Canis lupus familiaris: one gene and its partners. The protein of the gene in region 2 binds, or shares a complex with, the protein of the main gene of each other region. Links are inferred from orthologs where the notes say so. Each region holds a gene or a part of one and is shown on either strand. Other genes may lie near its edges. The genes, in order: MYBBP1A, SMARCA5, DEK and RSF1.

Region 1 (6,324 bases), on a different chromosome or scaffold from region 2:
CCGACTCTACTCTCGCCTGTAACCTACACTGGCATCTCCCGTCCCTGGGCCGCGTCAGCACTGGAGAAAGCAAGTGTGCCCTCCCCACCTGTGTCCTCTTTCCTGCTGCCCACCCCCCACCAGAGCTCCTGCTGACACCTCTGCGTCTGGCCTGTCCCCACTGAGACACAACCCTCTGCCCCACCTGTGCCCCCCCAGGGCCTGAGGAGCATGATGGCTCTCCCAGGTACCTCATCACTGGCTCAGGTGCCCCTCTCCGTCCCCATCCCAGAACCACAGTAGGGGGGCTGGCAAGGAGCCTGGGCCAAGTGCAAGAGGCACACCCGCCAGATCGTGGGGAGCCCAGGGGCCCGGGTCGCAGGCCGCACTCACGTGAAGATGCGGGCGGTCTTGTGCAAGAGGTCCTGCTCCTGCTTGGAGCTGCTGCTGCGCATACTACGCCGGATGATGTCCAGCAGGGGCTCCAGCAGCTCCAGGACCAGTGGGTTCTCGGGCTGCTTGGTCACCAGCACCTCGATCAGGTCCAAAGCCTGTGGCCAGCATAGGCAGGTCAGCAGGTGTGGGGTGTGCATGGGAGGTGGGACACGGTGGTGCTGGCAGCTCTCTGGCTCACCCGGATCTGGAAGTCTCGCCGGAGCACCTTCTCCTTCCGCAGCTTGTTCTTCTCATCCCTCCGGGCCTGGATGCGCAGCTTCTGCTCGGCGAAGAGGCTGGCAAGGCTCTGGTCCAGGGCCATCATGGCCTCATCCCCCAGCTCGTCGTCATCGTCATCCTCACCGTCCACTGTGCCCTGAGGAAGAGGCCCGCTGAGCGGCTGGCCGCTGGTGTGGACGCAGGCCCTCCCACCCCAGCCCGTGGCTCACCAGGGCCTTCCCCGCCTGTAGCACTGCCATGAGCTGCTCCCGGAAGCCCTGGTCCACATCCCCGTCCCGGTCCTCCTCATCACTGTCTTCCTCATCGCTGTCCTCCTCGCTGGCTGAGTGTTTGTCGTCCTCACTCTCCGAGCTCTTGTCCTGCAGGAGCCACTGTATTGCACCGCCTGTCGCCCACCACACATCCGCCTGCCCCACTGTGCCCAACACGTACCCCCTCGCTCTCCAGCTGCTTCTCAGAATCGTCCGTGACCACCACGCTGTCCTCCTCTGGGCTCTGCTCAGGGTTCAGCACCTGCAGGTTCCCCAATGGCCAACGTGTCTGTAGCGCAGACGCTTCCCCCTCCCCTGACCGGGCCCTGTCCAGTCTGGGCCAAAAGGCTCCTCTCAAGGAGGAAACAGAGCCTGGGAGAGGAGGCCACACTGAGACCCCTGTGGCCCCCGGGGGACCACCTGCACAGAAGTGGTCTGGGTTCAGGCCCCTACCCGCTCTGCGGGTCACGGTGAGGAGGCAGCCACAGGGCTGGGAGAGTCCCATCCAGGCCCCATCTCCCCACTCACATCCAAGATCAGCTGCAGAGCACGTGGCGTCAGGTGTGAGCAGATGTGGCTGAACACGGTCCGGGCCACCTGGCGCATCAGGTGGCTGGGCTGGGCCAGGAGGGCCAGCAGGATCTCCACCAGCACCTCCACCCACGGCGGCTCCTGGGGGTCTGCAGGTGGGACAGCTGAGCCTGGGCAGGTCCCCACCACCCCATTCCACGTCCACAGGAGCCCAGGATGTGCCCTGTCCCCACCCCAGGGCTGTGACCCACTGGCAGCCTTGGAGCGAGTCCGGCGCGTCTTCTCCCCTAGGCTTTTCTTGATGCAGGTCTGGATGTCACCCAGAAGATCGCAGCTCTCCACAGGGGACTATGGGAGGGTGAGGACCAGGTCAGAGGCCGGCCCCACCCCCAGCCTTGCTGAGCCAGGGGAGGGGCCAGTAAGGCGGGCGCAGTGGGGGGAGGCACAAGGCCCAGGTCCCTCACACCCAGGGCAGAGGACCCCGGGGGCCGCGGCTTTTGTACCACATGGGGCCACAGGGCCTGGAGCCCAACGTCCCCACCACCACCTGGGGGCGACAAGGCCAGCTGGGTCAGGGGCTTGGACCCCCAGCACTCATTACTTTGAACGAACTCAAATCCAGTTTTGCGCCACCTTGCTGGGGTGAGCCCAGACCACAGCCTCCACCGGGGACTGGGGCACCTGCATCGCCTGCGTGGCCTCTGGCACTGCAGAGGAGCCCAGTGGGGGAAGACATCTGGAGATGCTGCCATGGGACAGGCTGGCACCAGCACACAGGACATGACCTTGGGGCGTAGAGCCCCAGGCACACCCGCTCACCCCAACCTGCCACTTGGCTTCTGGTGGGTGAGGTTCCAGGACAGGATGTCAGGCCCTCACTCCTCGGCTGACAGCAGACAGAAGTGCCCTGAAAGCACCCCATGTGCCACGACTGCCCACAGCAGGCCCCTCCCCATAGGCCATACTTTCTCCTGCACACCCGCCACCTCCGCTTAGGAAGGCAAGTCTGGGGGCCTTTGTGGGGCAGGGAGTCTGACCCCAGCGTGAATCCCAGGCAGCGACTGTGTGGTTACTCTGCCTGGAGTTCTGCACCCCCGCCCCCAGGCCGATGGGAGCAGCACCTGCCACAAAATCATGGGGGTGAGACACGCCGCGTAGGAAGCTCAGCATCCGAGGGGGCCGGGAAGTGGATGCAGCAACTCTTCCCTGGGCTGCAATTCGACCAGGGCCGACTGGCCTCAGAAACTGGCCACACGACTTGCACAGCCTCCACCCCACTCACCACCGTACCTTGAACAAGTAGACGCCCACCAGGAAGAGCAGGTGCTGGAAAGCACTGGCCTTGGCCTTGGCCTCTGGGGGGCAGGCGTCCAGCTCCTTCAGCGTCTGCAGCATCCTGGGGTGACATGGGCATGCTCTCAGGCCACCATCCCCCACTGGACCTCAGGTGTCCCACCTCCCCAAAGGCAACCACGGCCCCTTACCGGTCCCAAGCCTGGCGCTGCTGTGAGCTGAAGGGTGTCAGGGGAGTCACATTGCGGCTGCGGTTCAATAGCGAGTCCGCGAATTGTACCAAGCGGTGGGTCCAGGGTGGCCGGTCCTGGGTGGGCTCTGGCGCCTGCCTGAACTGCGTGCTGAGGGTCTGCAGCAGGCTGGGCAAGGATGGGGCTGGGGTCACAGACCGGGCCGCCCACACCCTGACCTGCTGGAGCTCACTAGGCCTCTGTGCTCTCCAAGCCAAGAAGCCCCCCACCCAGCCTGCCCGCAGCCCACCTGAAGAAGGCACTGCTGACCACCTCCCGGGTCCGGCTCTCCAGAGGGAAGGAGAACCGCTGTTCGGTCTCTGGAATCTGGGATGTAGGCTTCTTTGTTTCGAAGAACGAGTGGAAGAAACAAAACCTGGAGAGGGTGGGAGAGCCAGGGATGGCCGCAGCCCCCTCCCAGGAGGGTACCACCCAGCGCCCAGGGCCAGTGGCAGCACAAGGAACGTTTCCCAAGTCTCATCTCCAGCCTGCACAAACAGGCTCTGCACACAAGGGCTGCCTTCTTCTGGGACCATGGTGAGGGCTGCAGGAGACCCCCTGAGACAGGAGGCCAGTGTTGGGGGCCCCTGCAAGGGGTACGAGTGGCCCTCCAGTGCTGACCCAGCCCCCAGGCTTCAGGCTCCAGGGAGACCACACCAGGTCTAGGACCAGACAAAAGGCCCATTCTTGTCCCCCGTGGGGTGCGGGGGGCAGAGCCTGCCCTACCTGGCCACCTCCTCAATCACATCCTCCTCCTTCTCTGCATGCAAAGCGTCCACCATGCTGACCAGGCGAAGGATGACCCACTTCCGCAGCCGCAGCACAGCACGCTCAGGCCTGGTGGGTGGGAGCCAGGTTACGGGAGCCACTCAGGTTCTCTGCCCCCCACCCTGGAGACTGACACTAGCTCCTCCAACCACAGCACAGGAACACATGAGGAAACCCAGACCCTGAGTTCAGGGGCTCCCCTGCCCTTCCCTTGCCCTGCCCAGGCCCCGCGGGAAGGAGGGCTGAGCTCTCCTGGCTCCACTTGGCCACTCACACGTGCAGCGAGGCATCCTGAGCTTTCTTCTGGCCGCTGGTGCTGAAGTCCACCAGGGAGTCCAGGTCAGGCCGGAGAAACATGTCCCGCAGCCAGGCCACGTAGCCCTTGAGAGCAGGGGCACTCAGGGATCGCACAACCCTCCAGAACGTAGGCAGGACAGGGAGGCCCTGGTTGGTGACGCACGTGAAGGCCACCACCACAGCCAGCTGCCGCTCGGGGTCATCCCGGCAGCTTTCCAGGAAGGCACTCAAGTACTCGTTCATCTCCGGAGCAAACTTGAACTGGTTTGGGAGCTGCGAGGAGTCAGGCCCAACATTGGGGTCACCAGCCAGGAGGCCCACGGCCCCGCCAGCCTCTCCCCAACAGATGAGACTGAGGCCTGGGAAGCCCAAGCCCTGTATGCAGCCAGGCTGAGCCACGCTGTGGCCCTGACGCCATCCACCTGCTCCTGCCCCAGGTGGCCCTCCGCCCACTCTCACCTGCTGTACCTGACAGGCTGCTTTCTAGGCCCAGGACGGAGGAGCAGCGGAGCAGGGTGCAGACGGGCTATTCTATACTCTGACCAGGTTCAAACCCCACATCTCAAGCACCTGGCTATAGTGCTATGGGGCTCAGCACCCAGCAATGCCCACGGGGGCACCACAGCCACGAGGCTTTGGGTGGTGGCGGGTTTCACGTTCATGACAACCCTTCACACTGGGCCCCTCGTGGCATCTCACAGATAAAGAAAGCGTGGCACAGAAAAAGCTGGCCACTAACTTTTCAGGGTCATGGAGTTCCAGGTGGTGCATCTGGGACATGGAGCCGCCGATCTGGCCTCCCTGCCCCACTCCGCACAGAACAGAAACCCACTATAGGGATGGGAGGTGAGGACAGCCCCCCAGGAGTACTTCCTGGGCACCGGGGAAGCCATGAGCGCTCTAGGGGCTCTAACCCTATCACATTCACAGCACCTAAGAAAGACACCGGTCGCAACAGAGGCGGCAGGCCCAGGCCGGGGGAGTCAGCCTGGCTCTCTACTCTGAACTCCTAACCAGCACCTGATTCCCCCATCCAGTGCGCAGTGTAGCATGGGGCCATGCACAGTGCTCAGTATGTCAGGGACCAAGATGACTCTCCCCATTGACACCAGCTGGGGACGGGGGAGGTCTGGGTGGGCCGCTGGCCACACGTGCCTCAGCTGAGGGGCCTGAGACCAGAAGGACTGACCTGGCCAAACCACCACCAGGTGGAAGGGACACCCAGTTCCCCAGCAAGACCACCGAGGTAGGAAGACCAGGATGCTGCAGCAAAGAGCAACGTTCTCGAGAAGCTGACCCAAGGGGTGGCCTGCCCCTCCTGGCAGTGCTGGGCTGCTGGGGGAGGGGGGATACCCACCTTAGCAGTGACCATGTGCTCCCCAAAATGCCGGATCAGGTCCCCCTGCATCACCAGCGGCAGCTGCTCCTTGGACAGCAGGGGCAGGGCAGTGCCCAGCAGGCGGAAACATAGGTAGCTGAGGGGTGTGCAGCAGAGCCTGGTCAGAGCCTGGGCCACACCAAGTGGTGTCTGGGGCCCCGAGCCCACCCCACCACCGAACAGGAAAGGAGGTGTGCAGAGGACAAGCGCCACACGTACCTGGCTGGCCAGAACTGCTTCTTCAGCAGCCCCTGCTCCACAACTTCCTTCCAGAACCATGGGAACCTGCCCTCCTGAAGCGCCAGGCGGAGCAGGTCCAGGGCCACAGTGGGCAGCTTGCGTTCTTTCTTCACAGAGGCAGCTGCCGTCTTCAGGACGTTCACCAGTCTGCGGAAGGGATGGAGGGAACTCAGGGGGCACCGGCCAACCAGACAACAGGGTCCCTGGGGGAGCCCATCCTCCCACATCCCTCACACCTGGGGATGTTCTCATCTGAGAACAGGTTGACGGGTCCTATCAGCTCCTTCAGCTTCTCAGGCACCTTCTGCTGGGCCAAGAGGAAGAGCTCCAGGTGCTCAGGGGAGCCCAGCACCGAATTTAAGTCCGCCTTGAGGACTTTTGGCAGGATCTCCTGCAACACGGCTTCCGGGACCTGGGGTGGGGACACAAGTTGGAGTGGGGGTGGTGGCAGCAGCTCCCCCAGCACCCTGTGTCACCTCTCCTGCCATGTAAGCCCCACGGGCTGTTCCATCTGCCTAGGGTCCCATGAGGTCCCGACAGTGCCAGTCTGGGGTGGGATAGCCACAATCCACCCTGGCAGGCATCAGGATCGTTACATGGTACCGGCTGAAAAGCTCAACCTCCCCCACCCCCCAGTCCCAGGATTCTAGTAACTACCTGCTGGTGCTAACTAGCTACTTTT
Region 2 (5,539 bases):
AAAAAATGGTGTATTTTTACCTTTGTAATATTTAAAGAGTGTAATTCTATTTGGGGAAAAACTTGAAATCACCAAATTGGTAGGTTAATTGGTTAAATGTTAGATACCCAAAAACTTATCAAAATATTGCTATTTCTCATATATCCATCACACTAAACTCTATCCTGTGAAGACATTTAGAGGTTCATAAATTCCCAATTAGGGCTGTTTAGTTCAGATTTCCTAAGTAAAACTAACACCATCATGAGCATATGCAAGTAGTGCTATAAAAATAACCACACTCTAAGTCTACTATATAAATTTGAAATGTACTGGATTTTTAAAAGGTGTGCCATTGGGAAAGCTTCCATTATCTCTTTTCCCTAAGGTTCTACTTACTATTTAAAATACTGAAGTTGAAAGTAATGATTATTTTACTAGTTTTACCTGGATATCTTCCCAATAAATTATAACCTTTCCAACAACTAATATAGTACCTTACTAAATTTAAATGAAATATTCTGGGTAATGGATTATTGTGACCCTGGCCACCCATGTAAACCTAGTCTCTTCTAGGTTGGCTTCAAATAGCATGCTACATATTGATGGATATCCTCTATTTTCAGTTGAGGAGGAGGTATCAACGAAATCGGTTTCCAATTTTGAGCCTATCTTCTCTACCATTTTTCCTCTTTTAAAAAGCTACTTTTGAAAAAAAAAGTTACTTTTGGCTAATTTTTCCTTAACTAGCAGTATCATTAGAATCATGGCTTTTTTCTTAAATATGCAATAATATCCTAATTGACATGTGGAAAAGAAATACATTGGCTAATTACAATGCAAAATTTGGATATTGTTTTTCTTTCCTGCTTTTTTAACTGTTTCCCTTTCCCTTTCGAGTCCCTGAGCTTTCAAGGGCTAAGCTTGATTTCTTTTTTTTTTTTTTTTTTTTTTAATTTTTATTTATTCATGATAGGCACACAGTGAGAGAGAGAGAGGCAGAGACACAGGCAGAGGGAGAAGCAGGCTCCATGCACCGGGAGCCTGACGTGGGATTTGATCCCGGATCTCCAGGATCGCGCCCTGGGCCAAAGGCAGGCGCCAAACCGCTGCGCCACCCAAGGATCCCTAAGCTTGATTTCTTTAACACATTTCCACTCTATGGCTTTTTTTACTTTCCCCACCTCTTGAAAACATTGCTTTGGTGACTTCCAGTTTTCTTCAGCCTTGTTTTTCCAAGTGTTTCTTCTAAAATTAGGCTACCACCCTTAAGAGTACTCCCTATTCCTCAAATTTTGCATACACTGGACTCAATTATTTCCAGAATCCAAGGTTAAAATGATGTCATTTAGGGGAAGCAGAAAAGGAAGCTCAAATTACAACTTGCCATAAACACTGGATTTTGCTTAACACAGCCACGATTCCACAGTTTGGAAAAGTAAGCAGTATTAGTAATACTTTAGAAATCAGCATTATAAATAAAGTCTCAATTATGTGTGGGCAGACAATTGACAAGTAATAGAAATTTTAGAAGAAATCTAAGGGAATGAGATAATGTTCTAAGGAAAAAAATAAAAAATCAAATGAGAAAAAAAATGGAAAGAAAAGACCACTTAAGGATTATAAAAGTTATATTTATTCACGATGCTACATTTATTGCATTCCCTTAGAAAAATGGAGAACTGTTTATGTACCCAATTTGCACATATAAAACTTTATACAAATTATGTGTAGCACATAAAGGCCTCTGGTACAGCTAAAAACCTGACACTACAATTTGGGTAATCCGGCTTTAGGGTCTCCAGTTTATCAAGTCTGTCCATAGAAAATAAAAACCGGTTATTATACTCAATCTTGCCATTCACACTTAAAAATTATTTTAAAATATAAAATTTTCAATTACTCTAAAAACTCAAAAAAGGCAAACTGGAAGGGGACATACATTCTGTTACCAATTTCAATTTAACAGTATGACAAATCCATACCTTATTTTGACTGGTCTTTAAAAAAAAAATCACCTTAGTTTTGACATTATCTTTCTAAGTTGTGGCTGCTTCAAGAAGGTAATTTGTCAAAACATTTACCAAACAATTAAAATTAATATTCCTTTTACAAAATGGTACAATAACACTTTACGGAACCAGAAAATACTAAATGTCTTTGGCTATACAACTAAACAGCCAGTCTTCCAACAGAATAGGGCATATTCACACCTCAGAACCAACTACAGAAACAGAAAGCGTAACAGATATATGCATAGAATTTAATGATAATTTGTCTTGCCTTTTGTTTCATTCTACCCATATAATAATCAAGGAGAATGCAATTTACATAATCTTCCCAGATGAGACTCTATATAGCACTACAAAGATACCCAAATTTCTGCAAAGGCAAAGTGAATTAAAACAATTACACAACTAAGTGAAGACCAAAGGACAAATATTATTTGTGCAATTTTTTTTAGTTGTTTGCTTGTTTTTTAAGCTCTGGGTGTAGAAATTATAGCTGATAAAACAAAAAATCACAATCTTCACAAATGGAACTATAATAGAAAAATAAATCAAATGAAACATTTATTAATAAATGAAGCCTGTTTTATTACTTCAAGTGTTAATGATAAAAAAAATTTCAGCACAGCTGTTGCATTTAAAAAAGTGAAACTACATACTATGTTTCTAGCTTAGTAAACAGATGAACCTGATGTCTTTGAATGACATAACAATTGAGTATTGTACAGTACATCTTATGAAGACCCGTAAATTAAAGAACTACTGGTTTAAAGTTAGTGATTATGAAACAAATATGTATTCATAGTTTCAGCTTCTTTTTTCTTCCTCGACCATCAGGTGCTCCATCCATTTTACGTTTCTGTGTCTACAAATGAACAGAAAGATTCCTTTTAATCACAAGACTAATATTAAAGATAAAATACGTGGACTCTTTTTTACTTTAACAACTGCTACATAGTAATAAGTATTAGACTTTCTTACCCAGAATAATCTTAATTCTCCAAAATCTTGTCTACTCACTTAATGAACACAAAAATTTTAATGCCAATTAAATAATTTGCAATACACAACAGTAAACCAATACACCAAACAATAACATGCCTTGATACCAAAAGAAAGCAGTACTAAATTATTTTAATGAGGTTTTACATAAATACCAGACATTACTCAGGCATTCATTTATTCATGACTTTCTAAATTATTACTAAATAAAAAGATGACCTTTTTTTAATTCTCTTAAAATATCTGTGTTAACATTGCTAAGAATATCACTGGGACATAAACCAAACCTTAAAAGTTTGCAGTAAAGGTTGTAAAACCATTGCTTTCCTAATATTTCTTTACATATTCTAAAATTACACCTTGTACTCTCAAGGTCAACTGTAGGCTCATGGCATTCATAAGACATATCTTCCCCAGATTTTCAAGAATCTCCAAATTACGGAATACCATCGTAATGTATTCCCTACACAACGCAATCAAATTTATACTTTTAAGAACAATTCATAACATAAAGACAAACACATTACTGATAGCTACATAATGTTCAAATTCTTACAAAGAAAATATATCTTCATGAATACTTACTGAAGGTTTTGGTCCTCTCTTCTTTTTCTCTGCCTTCTCCTTTTCTTCTAGTTCCATGTTTTCTCTTTCAATCAAGGTAATTAAGGTATTACACCTCCTCTGGAGCTCCTGAATTGTAAATATAAATTTATATGGTAAACATGTATATCCATCTACAAGTTTTCAGGATACCAAGGTTTTAAAATGATAACGTTTTAATTGTATAATATAGAATTACTCATACATTCCCCAAAGATAAAATCTAGAACAGCCAAAAGAACTGATTACAATCCATTCTATGAAAATCAAGATATCGATGTTTTTACATTCTTTAAAATCACACTGTTTTCATCTTCATAAATCCTTCTTTCCCAAAGAAATTCAACCAGTGAAAATTAACATAATATATGCCACATTGCTACTTAGTACCTATACCTGAGAACTATCCTATAGATCCAAAACTAAAGGAACCAGAGCTTTACTAAGAAGTGTAAAGTGTCATCTTTCCCTTAACTAGAATTTTTCCAATTTTGGAAAAATAGCCATGTAAAAGTTTATGATGATATCTACATCATCTCTCTCTAGTCAACTGAAATCCTTTGTGGAGGCTGTATAAAGTGTAGTGCTGCATTAGCATATGACCCTGAAGAAAAGAGAAGTACATTTGCATCATTGCTGACTTAGTAAGCAAAATGGTTTTCTTGTTAAAAAAAAAAAAAAATGACCTATGCAAACTACAACAAAATCATTTTAAAATACGGTTACAGAATACACCATACAACGTTTGGAAATATTTGCAACATAATATAGATAAAAGGTAATACACTACATCAAAATTCTATACCTAACAAATGTACTGAGGCATACATGCCACAATGTTACAGATGTGATCTCAGGCAAGGATTATGCCTTAAGTGTTCATCAGAAGGGGCCATGCACATATATAATCTCATATTTTATGTGTGCTCTAAAATGAAACATGTTTGGAAATAACAGCTTTGGGTACTGGTTTGTACTGTACTGGTAAATCAACATGATAGTGCATTTTGTTTCTTATTAACTGTATGAATTGTTCCCACTTAAAGACAAAAGACAGAACTATAGGGGGACACCTGGATGGCTCAGCAGTTGAGCATCTGCCTTTGGCTCAGGGCATGATCCCAGGATCCAGGATTGATTCCCTCATCCGCCTCCTTGCAGAGAAGCCTGCTTCTCCTTCAGCCTCTGTCTCTGCTTCTCTCCCCCCAACCCCCCGTCTCTCATGAATAAACAAATAAAATATTAAAAAAAAAAAAGATAAAGCTATAGGAATTGGTCTTTCCTCAAATTTTATTTATAATGTCTTTATAGTGCAACATTTCCCAAACAAGAATACACAAGAGAGTAGCCACTGTTAATGTTTAGTGAAAAATAATCCTTCAGTGGTCAAATATGAAAAGACTGTGCACAGTCCCCCATCTTGAAGAGTAACAACATACTTTAAATAAACTTAGAGAAATCTCACTATATAAAGATGTTTAAACTCTGCTTATCCTAATATATCCCAAATAAGGACCATAGAATATTTTTGGTACTATCACCCTAAAGAACACAAGATGGAAGTTAAAACCTCCGAAGTGGTAAAATGCGTAATAAAAAGAGCAATTCATGGAGGCTAAACTTTCCTGAATTATAACTTTTGGTCATTAGGAATGGAACTTGCTTATCACAAATAGCCTAGTATTGAGAATGGAAACAAAACCTACCATTAAACCATACAAAAAGTGCTTTACTACAAGCTATTTTAAAATAATCCAAAAAAATAAAAAATAAAAAAATAAAATAAAATAATCCAGACTCAACACATTCAGAAAGGCAAATGCCTGAATATGAGTTCTTTCCTTATAGAAATGTGTTCATTTAAGAAAATCAAAATTATCTGAAAAATGCAAATCTTAAATTATGATCATCACATTCATAAGGTGAAACTGATGGTGATATTTCCT
Region 3 (6,324 bases), on a different chromosome or scaffold from region 2:
TGAAAAATAACTGTTATTTAAAAAATTGTTTCAGTTTTAATTTACACTACAGTAAATATCAGATTATCCCATATAAAAGCTTCTGGAGTCCTCATTAATTTTTATGAGGGTATCAGGTCCTAAAACCAACAGTTTAAAAAGTCATTGAGGAGACGCCTGCCTGGGTGGCTCAGTGATTAAGCATCTACCTTTGGCTCAGGGCATGATCCTGGATTCCCGAGATCAAGTCCCACATTAGGCACCCTGCATGGAGCTTGCTTCTCCCTCTGCCTATATCTCTGCCTCTCTCTGTGTCTCTCATGAATAAATAAAATCTTAAAAAAAAAATCAATGAGGAAAAGAATATAAACATATCCCTCATAACTTAATAATGTCTTCTGGAGAAATGGTATTGTTTGTCACCTGAAATTCTAAAGTAGAGGTAAAAGTTTAGGAAAACAGATAATCTCTCATCTTTAAGCCAATTCAAAACACACAAAGATTCACCATGGCCCTTGGGTTTTTAGCTGCCTGAGAACTGACAAAAATACCCTTTATCAGTCTTTGTCCAGTTAATGGTAAATTAGACTACCAGCAGATAAAACCAAAGTCCCAAGGGTACCTGGGTGACTAGTCGGTTAAGCATCTGCCTTCAGCTCAGGTCATGATCGCAGGGTCCTGGGATCAAGCCCCATGTTAGGTTCCCTGCTCAGCGGAGAGTCTGCTTCTCTCTCCCTCTGCTTCCCCATCCCTAACTGTGTTCTCTCTCAGATAAATAAAATCTTAAAAACACCCCTAAGTCTCAGAGCTATTTTCTGATTCTAATCCTTAAGGCCCCTTCCACTCACTGATAGTATTCCCCTGAACTCCTAAGTCCTCTAGATCTCTTCATAGTTTCTTTGCCATGAAAATGAGGAAGAATATGAAAATATTTACTGACAGACTTCAAACAGAAAATGTAGGCTCCTGTAAGTATTACTTCAACAGACATTTTTAAGTCAGTGATGTCATTTGTTAAACAATTTGGGCAAACCTAATCTAAATTTCAGAAGAATGGGGGAAAGTATAAGGCCATTTTACTTCCATGTCCAACTCCTGGGCTCTGCTGATTCTGGAAACCCAATCCAAGAAACTTTTAACATTCCATTTTGTTTTTTATGTTGTATTTTCATAACATTATTCCAGTGTCTAGAAAACATCCAGTTCTAATGCACCCCATCTTAATCTTACCTGGACAATCCAACACCTCACCCTCAACTCAATCTGTTTCTGTTCTTCCAATGCCTTCTATATATATAAATAAGCCTGGATGCTTAGTTTGTATTTGTCCATTTAAGACTAATCCAGTTAACAATTACTTTTCTTAATCTTACACCATTTATATCTGATATAGGATACATCTGCATGGATTCTATGTACTTCTATCATGAAAATGTTGCAGATATATCAACAAGGGCATATCCTTTAAATGTAGAAGACAATACTGAATATTGACAATGCTGCTAACAAACTAAATCATTCCATTAAAAGAAAGTAAAGAAAGGCTACAAATAATTGATTTGTTACTGGAAAAAAAAAAAAAAAAAACAAAAAAAACTGGTCCTCACTTTGCCAGAAGGCTTTGGATGCATTAAGAAATTCAAGATCCTCTTCACCAGTTCACTATTTACACCCGATCTCTCCAAATCAAGAACCTCACAGATGCTCTTTAACATGGCATTTCTAAATCTAAAACAGAAAATGAAAGAAACAAAGTTTATTTATTATGTAGCATATATTACCCACAACATAAACGTAACAGCTAACCAAACTGGCTTGGGTAATAAGCATTAAAAAAAAAAAAAAAAAAAACACAAAACAAAAAAAACCAATGTTTCTCCAAATCTAAAAAGTTCTTCCCTATTATCTTGACTAATGTACAAAATACAACCAAATATAATAAATTGAAAACACCATTTACCAATTAAGTTTTAAAAGTAGTAGAAGAATTAACTAGGTCAGACCACCTAGGTGGCTCAGTCGGTTAAGCATTGGACTCTTGAGCTCAGCCCAGGTCTCAGTCCCAGGGTCATGAGTTCAAGCCCCATGACGTGTCGAGGCTACTTAAAAGAAAAAAAGTCAATTCAACTAGGAAATACTGTAAAAAGTTTTCAGTACTCTAAAATTCATGGATTTGACAATTCTTCTGGTGATTAAATACTACATTTTCCCCTCAGCACTCCTACTATGACATTTTGATGAACAAGTAGGTAATCATCTTCATTATTTGTAACTCTTAAGTTTTAGATGATTTAACAAATAAAAGCTCTTAATTTATCATCTGGCTTGCATTATGATGAAGAACACTGCTCCTATCAAGTTGATTATCTTCACAACAGTTTAAATGGTCCCTGTAAGTTGGGGGAACAGAGTGGCTGGCAGAGGACAAGAGTGGGAGAGTTTTTTCAGTATATTTCCCTTAGGCCTAAATTTTGGACCATGTGAACAATTTGTGTATACAGTTCTCCTAAGAAATAGAAACATCTTTAGATGTGAGTTTTCAATACTCTTAACAGTCACTAGTGGAAAGTAATGAACATCACAAGTTGATAGCTATGAAGGAAAGTCAGATCTTGGTATTTAAAGCAAAGCATTAGCAGTCTGCTAAAAAATGTTTCAATGGTCCTATTTAAATGTTAAGAAATAAAACACACTGATCAAAACACAATACTTTAAAAATAACTTACTTTTTCAACATTTCTTCCTTCTTTTTATACTGGGCACTTCCTTTTTCAAATGGAAAGCCACTGAACTGACCCACATTCTTCTTTAATGAGGACACCTGAAAACGTTTCCCTTATTATTAATGCTATTACCCGGTAATGTATGTAAGAAAATTCAAAGCCAACATCTTTATTTTCATAGCTGTCTCCCACCTACAACACTGGTTTATTCAACATTTCTTATTCACAACTGAAAATGGTATTTGTTATTAAAATAGTAACATAATAAATGCTTTAAGTTCAATCCTTAAAGATAACAATTTCAATCTGAATGAATTTCCATCTGGGAATTTTTACTGGCAATTATAAAACCACAACTAAGTGTTATCTGACAATACCAGAAGATGTGGAAAGTTACTTCTTAAAAAACTCCCGTTTCTTAATACAAGTTACTAGTAATATTTCTCAAATCAGAGAGTCATGTATTTTATTCTTTGAAAAGAACGGAGGACCTCCAAAAGTTAATACCACTTAGCAGTCATAAGACTTGTGTAAATCAAGGCAGCCTGGGTGGCTCAGCGATTTAGCACCACCTTCAGCCCAGGGCCTGATCCTAGAGACCCCCACGTCAGGCTCCCTATAGGGAGCCTGCTTCTCCCTCTGCCTGTGTCTCTGCCTCCCTCTCTCTGTCTGTGTCTCTATGAATAAAATAAATAAAATCTTAAAAAAAAAAAAAAAAGACTTGTGTAAATCAGATTGCAGTGACGATCACATGAAATAACACCATGCTTCAGACATTCAATTCTAACATCAAACTTCACTTTGCCCACGTACAATCCAAAGTTTACTCAATTATACGAAATACTGAAGTTGTGTGTACAGTGTAATTCAATTAATGCAATACTGATTTGTTCTAACAAGTTCCCTGACAAAGAATTACCACCTAATTTATCAGATATTTGCTCAAAATGAGATAAATTATACTGTATCATTTATTCTGAATAAGTAAAAACATCCAAAAAATAAATTTCTTCTAATGCATTTAAAGATCCCTAAAAATCACATTTCGGATTTCACATTTTGAAATTTCAGTTTGGCATAAAAACAACTATAGTACAAGCCTAAATGTTATAATCCTAACTGCTGATATTTAATTATGTATTCTACATATGATAAGTCATTTTATATGTCTCAGTTTGTTCACTTGTATGGTACAGAAATTGAACCACTGGATTGCTTAAGTCCCTTCCTGAACTAAAATCATGCTTTAATTGTAAAGTATTTCAATACATAAATATGTTACTAGGTTAAAGATATAAAAAAGGTCTTAACTGTGCCTGGTCTGTTGTAAAGCAGTTTATGTAGATTTCTAAGTTCATCTGTTTTCTTTTTACTCAGGAAGAAATGTATCCTCTCAATTTCACAAAGTTTCTGCCCCTTTCCTAGGGAAAACAAAACAAAACAAAACACCATAATAACTAAAGTTAAATGCCCAGCATGTGTTAATACATACAAAGTTATTTTAATCACGATTATTTAACAGCCAAATTTACATATAGCTTTTGCTGAATAGGGCAAACTAAATAAAATTATACCCATAATATATAATGACTTCGTAAACACTAAAAACTGAACACTGACCATTTTATTATATATTTAGTCATTTTTACCATAAAATGAAAAGAACAGAATAAACTTACCTTGTGCAATTGTAAATGGCTCTCTCTGTAAGGAAGAGACTTGCATGGTCAATCTCTCTACTTTTTTCTTTTCCCTCTTGCCTTCCACGATGAGACTCTTTTCTAGAAATTAATTGAATATTTCTTAAAACAGCTAAAAGCTTAAAAAAAGTATTAACTCTACTGGATAAACATGTAGAAAAAAACTGCAGAACTCTTTAATACCTTACTCTTTTTTTTTTTTTTTGAGTAGCAAAAAAGTACCTTACTCTTTAATTTTAAGAAGCAAATGATGAAAGAGAAATGAAAATACATAATAAGTTAACATCACTTAAGTTTTTTTTTAGAGTAGCATTTTACTTACCTGGCAACCTCACAAGGGATCCAGTTTTTTAAAAAATCATAAAGGAAATGAACTTTTACTGAACTACAATTATTGCTAATGAAAGTGCCAGTCACTTTATGAAAAATCACCAATGCCCCTCACTAAGCCTGCTCTTTAATTAGACCTAATTCTGTTGATTGAGATTTAGTTTATGGTACATCAAACAGCAAGTTTAAGACTGAGATTATAACAACTTCAAAAACATAGAAAAGCAGTAATTCAGTAAGCAGATGAAAGAAAAACGAAGACTTTAGCTAAAGCAGAGCAGCCTGAGGTTGCTATAAATAGGGTAAAATTCTCCAAGTTTACATTTACTGCAAGTGACTAGGAGGACATTACTTTTAGTTTGGTAAATGTTTATAACAATGGTCATAAATCATTCTAAAAAAGTTAAATTGTTTATAGTACAGACTGCTTTTATTAAAAAAAAAAAGGCTAGAAGATAAACAGCATTTACTTAAAAACTTAAAACACTGAGCTTAAATTTCCAAAACAATTTACCTACTGAGATAAATTCAGATAAAAGAGGACACTATCACTGAAGGTCCTTTCATTCATTCAACTGAATGCCAGTTTTGTACAAAGCTTCACTAGACACTAAGGGGGGATTGAACAGATGGTCAAGACACTGAGTAACTCTTGAAAGAGATCATGTCTACCGGTGGTGATGAGACACAACAAACACACTCCAAGCAGATGATAAAACACCTTAGGCAATCTACAAATAAAACAACTCTGAATTGAAGAGAGTCATTATTTTTGGATTAAGGAAAAAGGATCAAAACACTGGAGCTGCCTTTGAAGGATAGGTAAGATCTGGAGATGGGAGGATTTGCACAGAAGGAATTAGGAAGGATAAAGGGATTCTAGCAGCAATGGCAATGGTGTGCAGAGTGAAGAAAATGCACTCTAAAGCAATCCCTGTGATCCTGCTACTTCCTTTCCCTGAGTGATTTAAACCTTTCGCTCACCTGTTTACCACGTACAAGCTAATGACTTTCCTGATTCTCTCCACTCAAGAGCTTCAAATCAGCTAGGAGGGTCGATAAATGGACAGCTCCACTTCATGTCCTGTAGGCACCTAACTCTGCATTCAAAACAGAGGTCGTACTCCTCTCCAACCTTGCTCACCTTTGACAATTCTAGTTTTCAGAAAACTGTAGTAATGTCAACTCAGTTGCCGAAGATAGACACCGAAGAATCATCTTTTACCAGCTCCTCACCCACCGCAGTCAAGACAATCCCACCTTCACTAGGAACAGACTACACTGCCTTGTTTCTGTGATGCCTAGACAGCAGACTTGAATGTTCAGGGCTAACGTAGGATAAAAACCTTTACAATTTTAGTTGTTCCATGAACACCTCAAATGAGGGAATGAACAGTAATCAATTAGAACAACTAGAGAATTGCTTGAGGGTAATTTTTTTTTTGGGGGGGGGGGGATATCACAATTCAAACAATCATCAGTTCCCCCAAGCATTACTCTGCCATTTGTAGTATTTTTACATGATTTGTATAATTTTTCCTGACACATATGAATCCATCATCTCTGTGGTATCAAAACTTTTGTCTTTAAAG
Region 4 (6,324 bases), on a different chromosome or scaffold from region 2:
CACTTTTAATTTTAACAAACTCCTATAAGCTAGCTGTATACTTGTACAAGATTTTGCTTAAAATAAAAGTCATAGAAAAAAGAATTCTGGCTTCTAAGACTAATGATTAAAATAGGGGAAGAAGATGCTCTCATACACGGTAATGAGAGAATATACTAATGGGGCCTTTTGGGGAGGCCAATGTGGCAATAGCTACCAAAAGTTAAAGTATACACATGCCCCTTGACCCAGCAATGCCAATTCTAGGAGTCTATTCTAAAGAAATACTCACTTATGTCCAAAAGGATCTTCAATGCAGCATTGCCTGTAATAGTGAAAAATTGGAAACAACCTAAATGTCAATCAATAAGGGAGTGGTTAAATAAGCTGAGGTACATCCACACTATGGAATACTATGTAGCCATCAATAACCAAAAGGTAGACTACATCTACTGACATAGAAAGAATTCAGACACACACTGATAAGTGAAAAATTCATAGAAAAATGAACACATTTATCTTTTAAGTGAACGGGTAAATATTTATGAACATAAATATGAATTGGAAAAAGATGTGGAAAAAGAACTGGAAAGACATGCATCCAAAACTGTTAATAGTGTTTACGTGACATTTTGATTTTTCAATCCCACAGCTTGAGTATTATCTGCATAGTTTACAAAGAGAACATATTCCCTGTAATAGAGAAAAAGTTTAAAAGATGACAAGATTATATAGTCTGAAATTTAATGTCTGGAATACTAGTGAGAAAAGATATCTCAGCTATAGGAAGAAAGATATATATATATATATACATATATATATATATATATATACACACACACACACACACACATATATATATTAAAGTTCTCTTTAGCCAAAACCAAGAGTCACACTTAGGCCCAATTATTTCTAATAAAAATTAAAGCTCAGAACAGGAGAAATTTTACCTTGCTTACTTTAGAATTCGTATCCTTCTCTGTTTTTTTCATATTTTCTTTTTTGTCTGCTTTCTGCAAAGCTGCTGACTCTTCTTCTACCTCATCTTCTCCTTCTCCTCTTTTTTTATCAGCTTTCTGATCTCTGATCTCAGCCACTTTTGCTGTGGGTCTTGATATTCTTGGAGATCTCCTTAAAGTACGACCCACATTTGTTTTCTCTTCTTCCTTTTCTGTCTTCTCTTGCTTGGTTTCTTGTTCTAGAATTTGGGGAGGACAATCTGGCTTTTTCTTTCGACTGGATATCCTAATTGTTAATTTGATGCCCTCTTTCTGCCTTTCAGAGGTTATCTCTGTGTTTTCTGAGGCAGTGGTTTCTTCCTCAGGAACCAGCTTATATTTAAATTTGCTTTTTTGCACAGAACTCTTTGCCTCAGAAGGATCTTCTGTGCCAGAGGTCTGGGCATTGTCCAGATTATCCGTTTCTACCTTTGTGGATTCAGAATCCTTTTTTAGAATTTCTGGGTCTGTTTTTTCCAGGGGCTGACCTTCTGTGGAACTTGTGTTCTGACATTCTACCACCTCTTTTTCTGAGGCTAACTTCTCACAGTGGTCTGTCATGTTAGACGGTGCTGAACCTTCAGCTGCCTCTGGAGAGACTGGCTTTCCTGATTCTGGAGTATACTTTGGAGCCTCCTCTGGTATTGGACTCAATCTTTCTGTGTCCTTCTCAAGAAAAGTCTTTTTGGACTTCTCTAACTTTTCAAGACATTCTAGGACTGGTGGGCGCTTATCCTTTTTACTTTTGGAAGACTTCTCGTCAACTTTCAGGGTACAAGATTCAGTGGCAGATAAAGAGGTTTTCAAAGAGAGATCTTTTGCCATCTCAGAAGACTCAAGAGAGATTTCCATTTCCAGAGGACCAGTTTCCTCTAACTGCCCTTTTTGACTCTGGGGCTCTAAGATTAATATTGAACTATCTGCATCTTTCCCTACAGGGACCACTTCCTTCTCAAGATCGCCTATTTTCATATTCGTTATGACAGAATTTAAGGACTCTGCTCCATTTCCCTCTACGATGACACTTCTATCTTTAGATGGGCTACAGCTATCTTCCTTTGTATCACAAATCCTTGTCTCCATTTGTTCTGTCTTAAAATTTGAAGTTACCTTTTCATCACTAACTTCTCCATTTACCAGTTGTTTCCCTTCATGACCCAAAATAGTAATCGTAGAGATCCTTTTACAAGTCTCTTCCTCTTGCTTTATTTCATCTTTCAAAAACTCTTTTGTTGGAGTAACTGATTTACACAAAGGTCCTTTGATTGGACTGTCAAAATCATCACTCAGTTTAATTTCTCGTTTTTTTAGGGGTATCTTGGCCTGCTGGTCATTTTTAAGTTTTTCGGTTTCTTCAGTAGACTTCTCAGTGATTTCTTGAGAAGATCTAACATTGCCACCAAATTCCAGCCTCTCTGGCTCTAGCTTCTCCATGCTACCTTTGATATCTTTAGGATCTGCTCTAAATTCCTTTACTTCGACTTTAGTGGGTTTGACATTTTCCTTGAAGGAATCACTTTCTTCTTTGATAATCCTTTTTTCCTCACTTTCTGGCAAAGGTTTTTCTAGCTTGACTATGACTGGCAGTTTGACAAGTTCCTTTTCATCTTCTTTTTCTATTTTCACAGTAGCCTCTTCCAGAGCACTGGGTGTAGAACAGTTTTCTGAATCTACTGGCTGCTCTTCACTTTTCATCTTCTCATTTTCCTTCTGTTCCTCTACAAATCAGGAAAAAATTTACATAAATCTAAGCATTTAAGATTATAAAATACAAAAGGCTAAATATAATTGATATTCTCAATTGAAATTTCCCTCTTAAAAAAGGTGGCTTGTCAATGGACATTTGATCAAAAAAGAAACAAAAACCAAAAAACCAAACACTCCAAATCTGACGGTGAAGGAAATTACCAAACCTGAAGCACAACTTCTAAATATCAAAAAATGGGTATTCAGAAAGATTCAGGTTTCTGCTTTATACTTTTAGCTTCAGTGTTCCTCAATGGAATGCAAATGTTTATACAGTTCAAATAATTTATTCAAGCTCAAGTGATGGCTCAAAAATGTGAACTAAAAATACTACATAAAACATTTCCAAAAGACCATATTTGTTTTAAAAACTGACAAATGTTCTTCCTTGCAAGTCACTGAGCACTTCATTTCATTGAGGTAGCACGAGCATGGGAAAATGTTTGTTTTATGCTTTATACAGATTACTAAAAGTAACACAATTCTGCACAGAAAATGAAACATATGCCCACAAAAAGAATAAAAGGTCCATAATCTTAATACCCAGAGGCAGCCACTATTATTATTTTAGGTTACTTCTAGTCCTGTATATTTTTAACAAAGTTGGGATCATGTTGCCCCATTTTTTTTTCATTGAAACATTACCACTATCTTATGATATTTAATGCCTTTTAAGAAATCAGATTTAATTATATAGCAGTCCTCAATGTGGTTGTATTAAAATTTACTTTATCAAATGCCATAGTAAAATTTCAGAAGTTAATATGTTACCAACTATATACATTTATCATCAATTCTTCTTTTTACCTTAATTGGCTATGTATTTCCAACTTTTATAGAGTACTTAATAGTGCAAAAACCAAATCTGGTAAATAGCATAATCTTTGTGATTTTTTTTGCATTAAAAAAATTATTTTAAGTAGGCTCCAGGCTCAGCCTGGAGCCCAATGTGGGGCTGAAACTCACAACCCTGAGATCAAGACCTGAGCTGAGATCAAGAAGAGTTGCATGTTTAACCAACTGAGCCACCCAGGTGCCCCAATAACATTACATTTGAATGGGATTACACAGATTGCACAAACAATATAAACCAGTGCTCAGAGAATCTAAGCAGAGCGTTTTCACAGAATTCATTAAGTACTAATTTTACCTGTATTTCCCATCACTTCACTATATCCCTACAATTGAAAAAAACAGCTCTAAATGGAATTTTACCAAAGTAGTAATTTTTACCAAAAAAATTGCACACATTAAACCAAATTGATAAACTAGAGTTATAATGTATTTCACAGGTATAAAATGGAATAAAAGAGAAGGGAGATGAATCAGGACATGTTTTTGAAAATAAGAACGCAACATCTTTAAAAGAGTAAATATTTTAATTACAAACAACTAGTTCTTTTACTTAATTCATGTTGCAAATATACCATTCAAGAACCACTAAGAACCACTCAGAACCTGAAACAGGAGGTCAGTATTGCTCTTCACTCTTTACATTGTCAATAATTTCATATATGCATGCCACTAAGGAAATTAAAGACATGACATTAATGATCTAATTTGTGTTTTCTCCTTCCCACTGAAAAAGTAGCCTTAGTAAATTCCTGATCATTGAGATCAGTTAGCACATCAGGAAATCTAATTAAATGAATATCTTAACAATTAAAACACTGATTACCAAAAAAAAAAAAAAAAAAACCCACTGATTACCATTTTAAAAAATAACTTCAACTTGTAAAAAGATCATTCAGTTATATATAAGCATTTTCCTGAAGTTTTCTTAAAAAGAAACTGTAAAAGAAATGCAAATGACTTGAAGAGATATAAAATCTGAAGAAACTTTTTTTTTTTTTTTTTTTTTTTAAGAAACAAAACTTAAGGTAAAACTTACTTCAAAACTCACATTGGAGCAGCAACACTGGTTGGCAAACTTGAGGTAATCCAAGAGAAGTATTATCTACCATAGGTTTTTATTTATTTTTATTTTTTTTTTAAAGATTTTGTTTATTTATTCATGAGAGACACACACACACAGAGGCAGAGACACAGGCAGACGGAGAAGCAGGCTCCATGCAGGGAGCCCAATGTGGGACTCGATCCCAGGTCTCCAGGATCAGGCCCTGGGCTGAAGGTGGCGCTAAACCGCTGAGCCACCCGGGCTGCCCTACCATAGTTTTTTTTTTTTTTTTTAATTTTTTCTAATTTATTTATTTATGATAGTCACAGAGAGAGAGAGAGAGAGAGAGGCAGAGACACAGGCAGAGGGAGAAGTAGGCTCCATGCACCGGGAGCCCGATGTGGGATTCGATCCCGGGTCTTCAGGATCTCGCCCTGGGCCAAAGGCAGGCACCACCCAGGGATCCCCTACCATAGGTTTTTAAAGTGGATTCACTCACCTACTCAACAAATATTTACTGATTACCTATTATGTGCTTTCCCAACCATCCCAACCACAATCTCTATGGAATAAAACACTGACTATCCTATAAAAGTTAACTGTAAAGGACATTGCTAGGTATCTACCCAGTATAAACATACCTTTTATTGGGCTTCACTTTATTGTACTTTCCAGATACTGCATTTTGTTCAAATTGGAAGTTTGTGGCAATCTTGCATCAAGCAAGTCTATTGGCACCATTTTTCTAAAAGCATTTGCTCACTTCATGTCTCGGTCACATTTTGGTAATTCTCACAATATTTCAAACTTTTTCATTATACTACGTTTGTTACAGTGATTTGTTATCAGTGATCATTTGATGTTACTATTATAATTGCTTTGGGGCTCCACAAACCACACCCATTTAAGACGGTCAACTTAAAATTGTGTGTGTTCTGACTACTCCACCAACTGACCAACCCCCCCATCTCTCCTTCTCCTTGGGCCTTCCTATTCCCTGAGACACATCAATACTGAAATTAGGCCAGCTAATATTTTACAATGGCCATTAAGTATTTGAGGGAAAGGAAAAGTCACACATCCCTCAATTTAAATCAAAAGTTAGAAATGATTAAGCTTACTGAGTAAGGCATGTCAAAAGCCCAGACAGGTCAACAACAATGCATCTTATACCAAATAGCTGGCCAAGTTGTGAATGCAAAGGAAAAGTCCTTGGAAGAAATTTTAAAAGTGCCACTCCAGGGATGCCTGGGTGGCTGAGCAGTTAACCGTCTGCCTTCTACCCAGGGCGTGATCCTGGAGTCCCAGGATCGAATCCTGCATTGGGCTCCCTGCAGGGAGGCTGCTTCTCCCTCTGCCTATGTCTCTGCCTCTCTCTCTGTGTCTCTCATGAATAAATAAAATCTTTTTTTTTTTTAAAGTGCCACTCCACTGATCACGATTAAAACAACAACAACAACAAAAACAGAAGCAAACAGCCTTTATTGCCAATATGCTGAAAGTTTTAATAGTCTAGACAGAAGATCAAACCAGCCACAATATTCCCTTAATGCAAAGGCTAATCCACAGCAAGGCCCTAACTTTTCTCAATTCCATAAAGGCTGAGAGAGGGTAAAGAAGGTACAGAAGAAAACCCTGGAGCTTGCAGAAGTTGATTTATCAGGTTTAAGAAGCCATAGAGACATAACATAAAAGTGCAAGCAA

Evidence for each region.
Region 1: SMARCA5 (region 2) and MYBBP1A share a complex: the UniProt entries of both Homo sapiens proteins name them as parts of the B-WICH complex. The link is inferred for Canis lupus familiaris from reciprocal best matches to the Homo sapiens genes SMARCA5 and MYBBP1A.
Region 3: SMARCA5 (region 2) and DEK share a complex: the UniProt entries of both Homo sapiens proteins name them as parts of the B-WICH complex. The link is inferred for Canis lupus familiaris from reciprocal best matches to the Homo sapiens genes SMARCA5 and DEK.
Region 4: SMARCA5 (region 2) and RSF1 share a complex: the UniProt entries of both Homo sapiens proteins name them as parts of the RSF-5 ISWI chromatin-remodeling complex. The link is inferred for Canis lupus familiaris from reciprocal best matches to the Homo sapiens genes SMARCA5 and RSF1.

What each region holds. Positions count from the first base shown.
Region 1 is NC_049226.1:30,729,895-30,736,218, forward strand, and holds part of MYBBP1A (myb-binding protein 1A), read right to left. Parts: intron 6,055-6,324; coding exon 5,879-6,054; intron 5,790-5,878; coding exon 5,622-5,789; intron 5,500-5,621; coding exon 5,382-5,499; intron 4,298-5,381; coding exon 4,002-4,297; intron 3,797-4,001; coding exon 3,686-3,796; intron 3,336-3,685; coding exon 3,210-3,335; intron 3,089-3,209; coding exon 2,921-3,088; intron 2,833-2,920; coding exon 2,727-2,832; intron 1,785-2,726; coding exon 1,688-1,784; intron 1,586-1,687; coding exon 1,434-1,585; intron 1,168-1,433; coding exon 1,087-1,167; intron 1,014-1,086; coding exon 864-1,013; intron 791-863; coding exon 614-790; intron 531-613; coding exon 373-530; intron 1-372. UniProt on the Homo sapiens protein: May activate or repress transcription via interactions with sequence specific DNA-binding proteins. Repression may be mediated at least in part by histone deacetylase activity (HDAC activity).
Region 2 is NC_049236.1:43,059,580-43,065,118, reverse strand, and holds the end of SMARCA5 (SWI/SNF-related matrix-associated actin-dependent regulator of chromatin subfamily A member 5), read right to left. Parts: intron 3,684-5,539; coding exon 3,576-3,683; intron 2,854-3,575; coding exon 2,788-2,853; 3' UTR 1,598-2,787; downstream 1-1,597. UniProt on the Homo sapiens protein: ATPase that possesses intrinsic ATP-dependent nucleosome-remodeling activity.
Region 3 is NC_049256.1:18,345,428-18,351,751, forward strand, and holds part of DEK (protein DEK), read right to left. Parts: intron 4,484-6,324; coding exon 4,382-4,483; intron 4,124-4,381; coding exon 4,014-4,123; intron 2,801-4,013; coding exon 2,706-2,800; intron 1,708-2,705; coding exon 1,587-1,707; intron 1-1,586. UniProt on the Homo sapiens protein: Involved in chromatin organization.
Region 4 is NC_049242.1:21,200,087-21,206,410, reverse strand, and holds part of RSF1 (remodeling and spacing factor 1), read right to left. Parts: intron 2,696-6,324; coding exon 930-2,695; intron 1-929. UniProt on the Homo sapiens protein: Regulatory subunit of the ATP-dependent RSF-1 and RSF-5 ISWI chromatin-remodeling complexes, which form ordered nucleosome arrays on chromatin and facilitate access to DNA during DNA-templated processes such as DNA replication, transcription, and repair.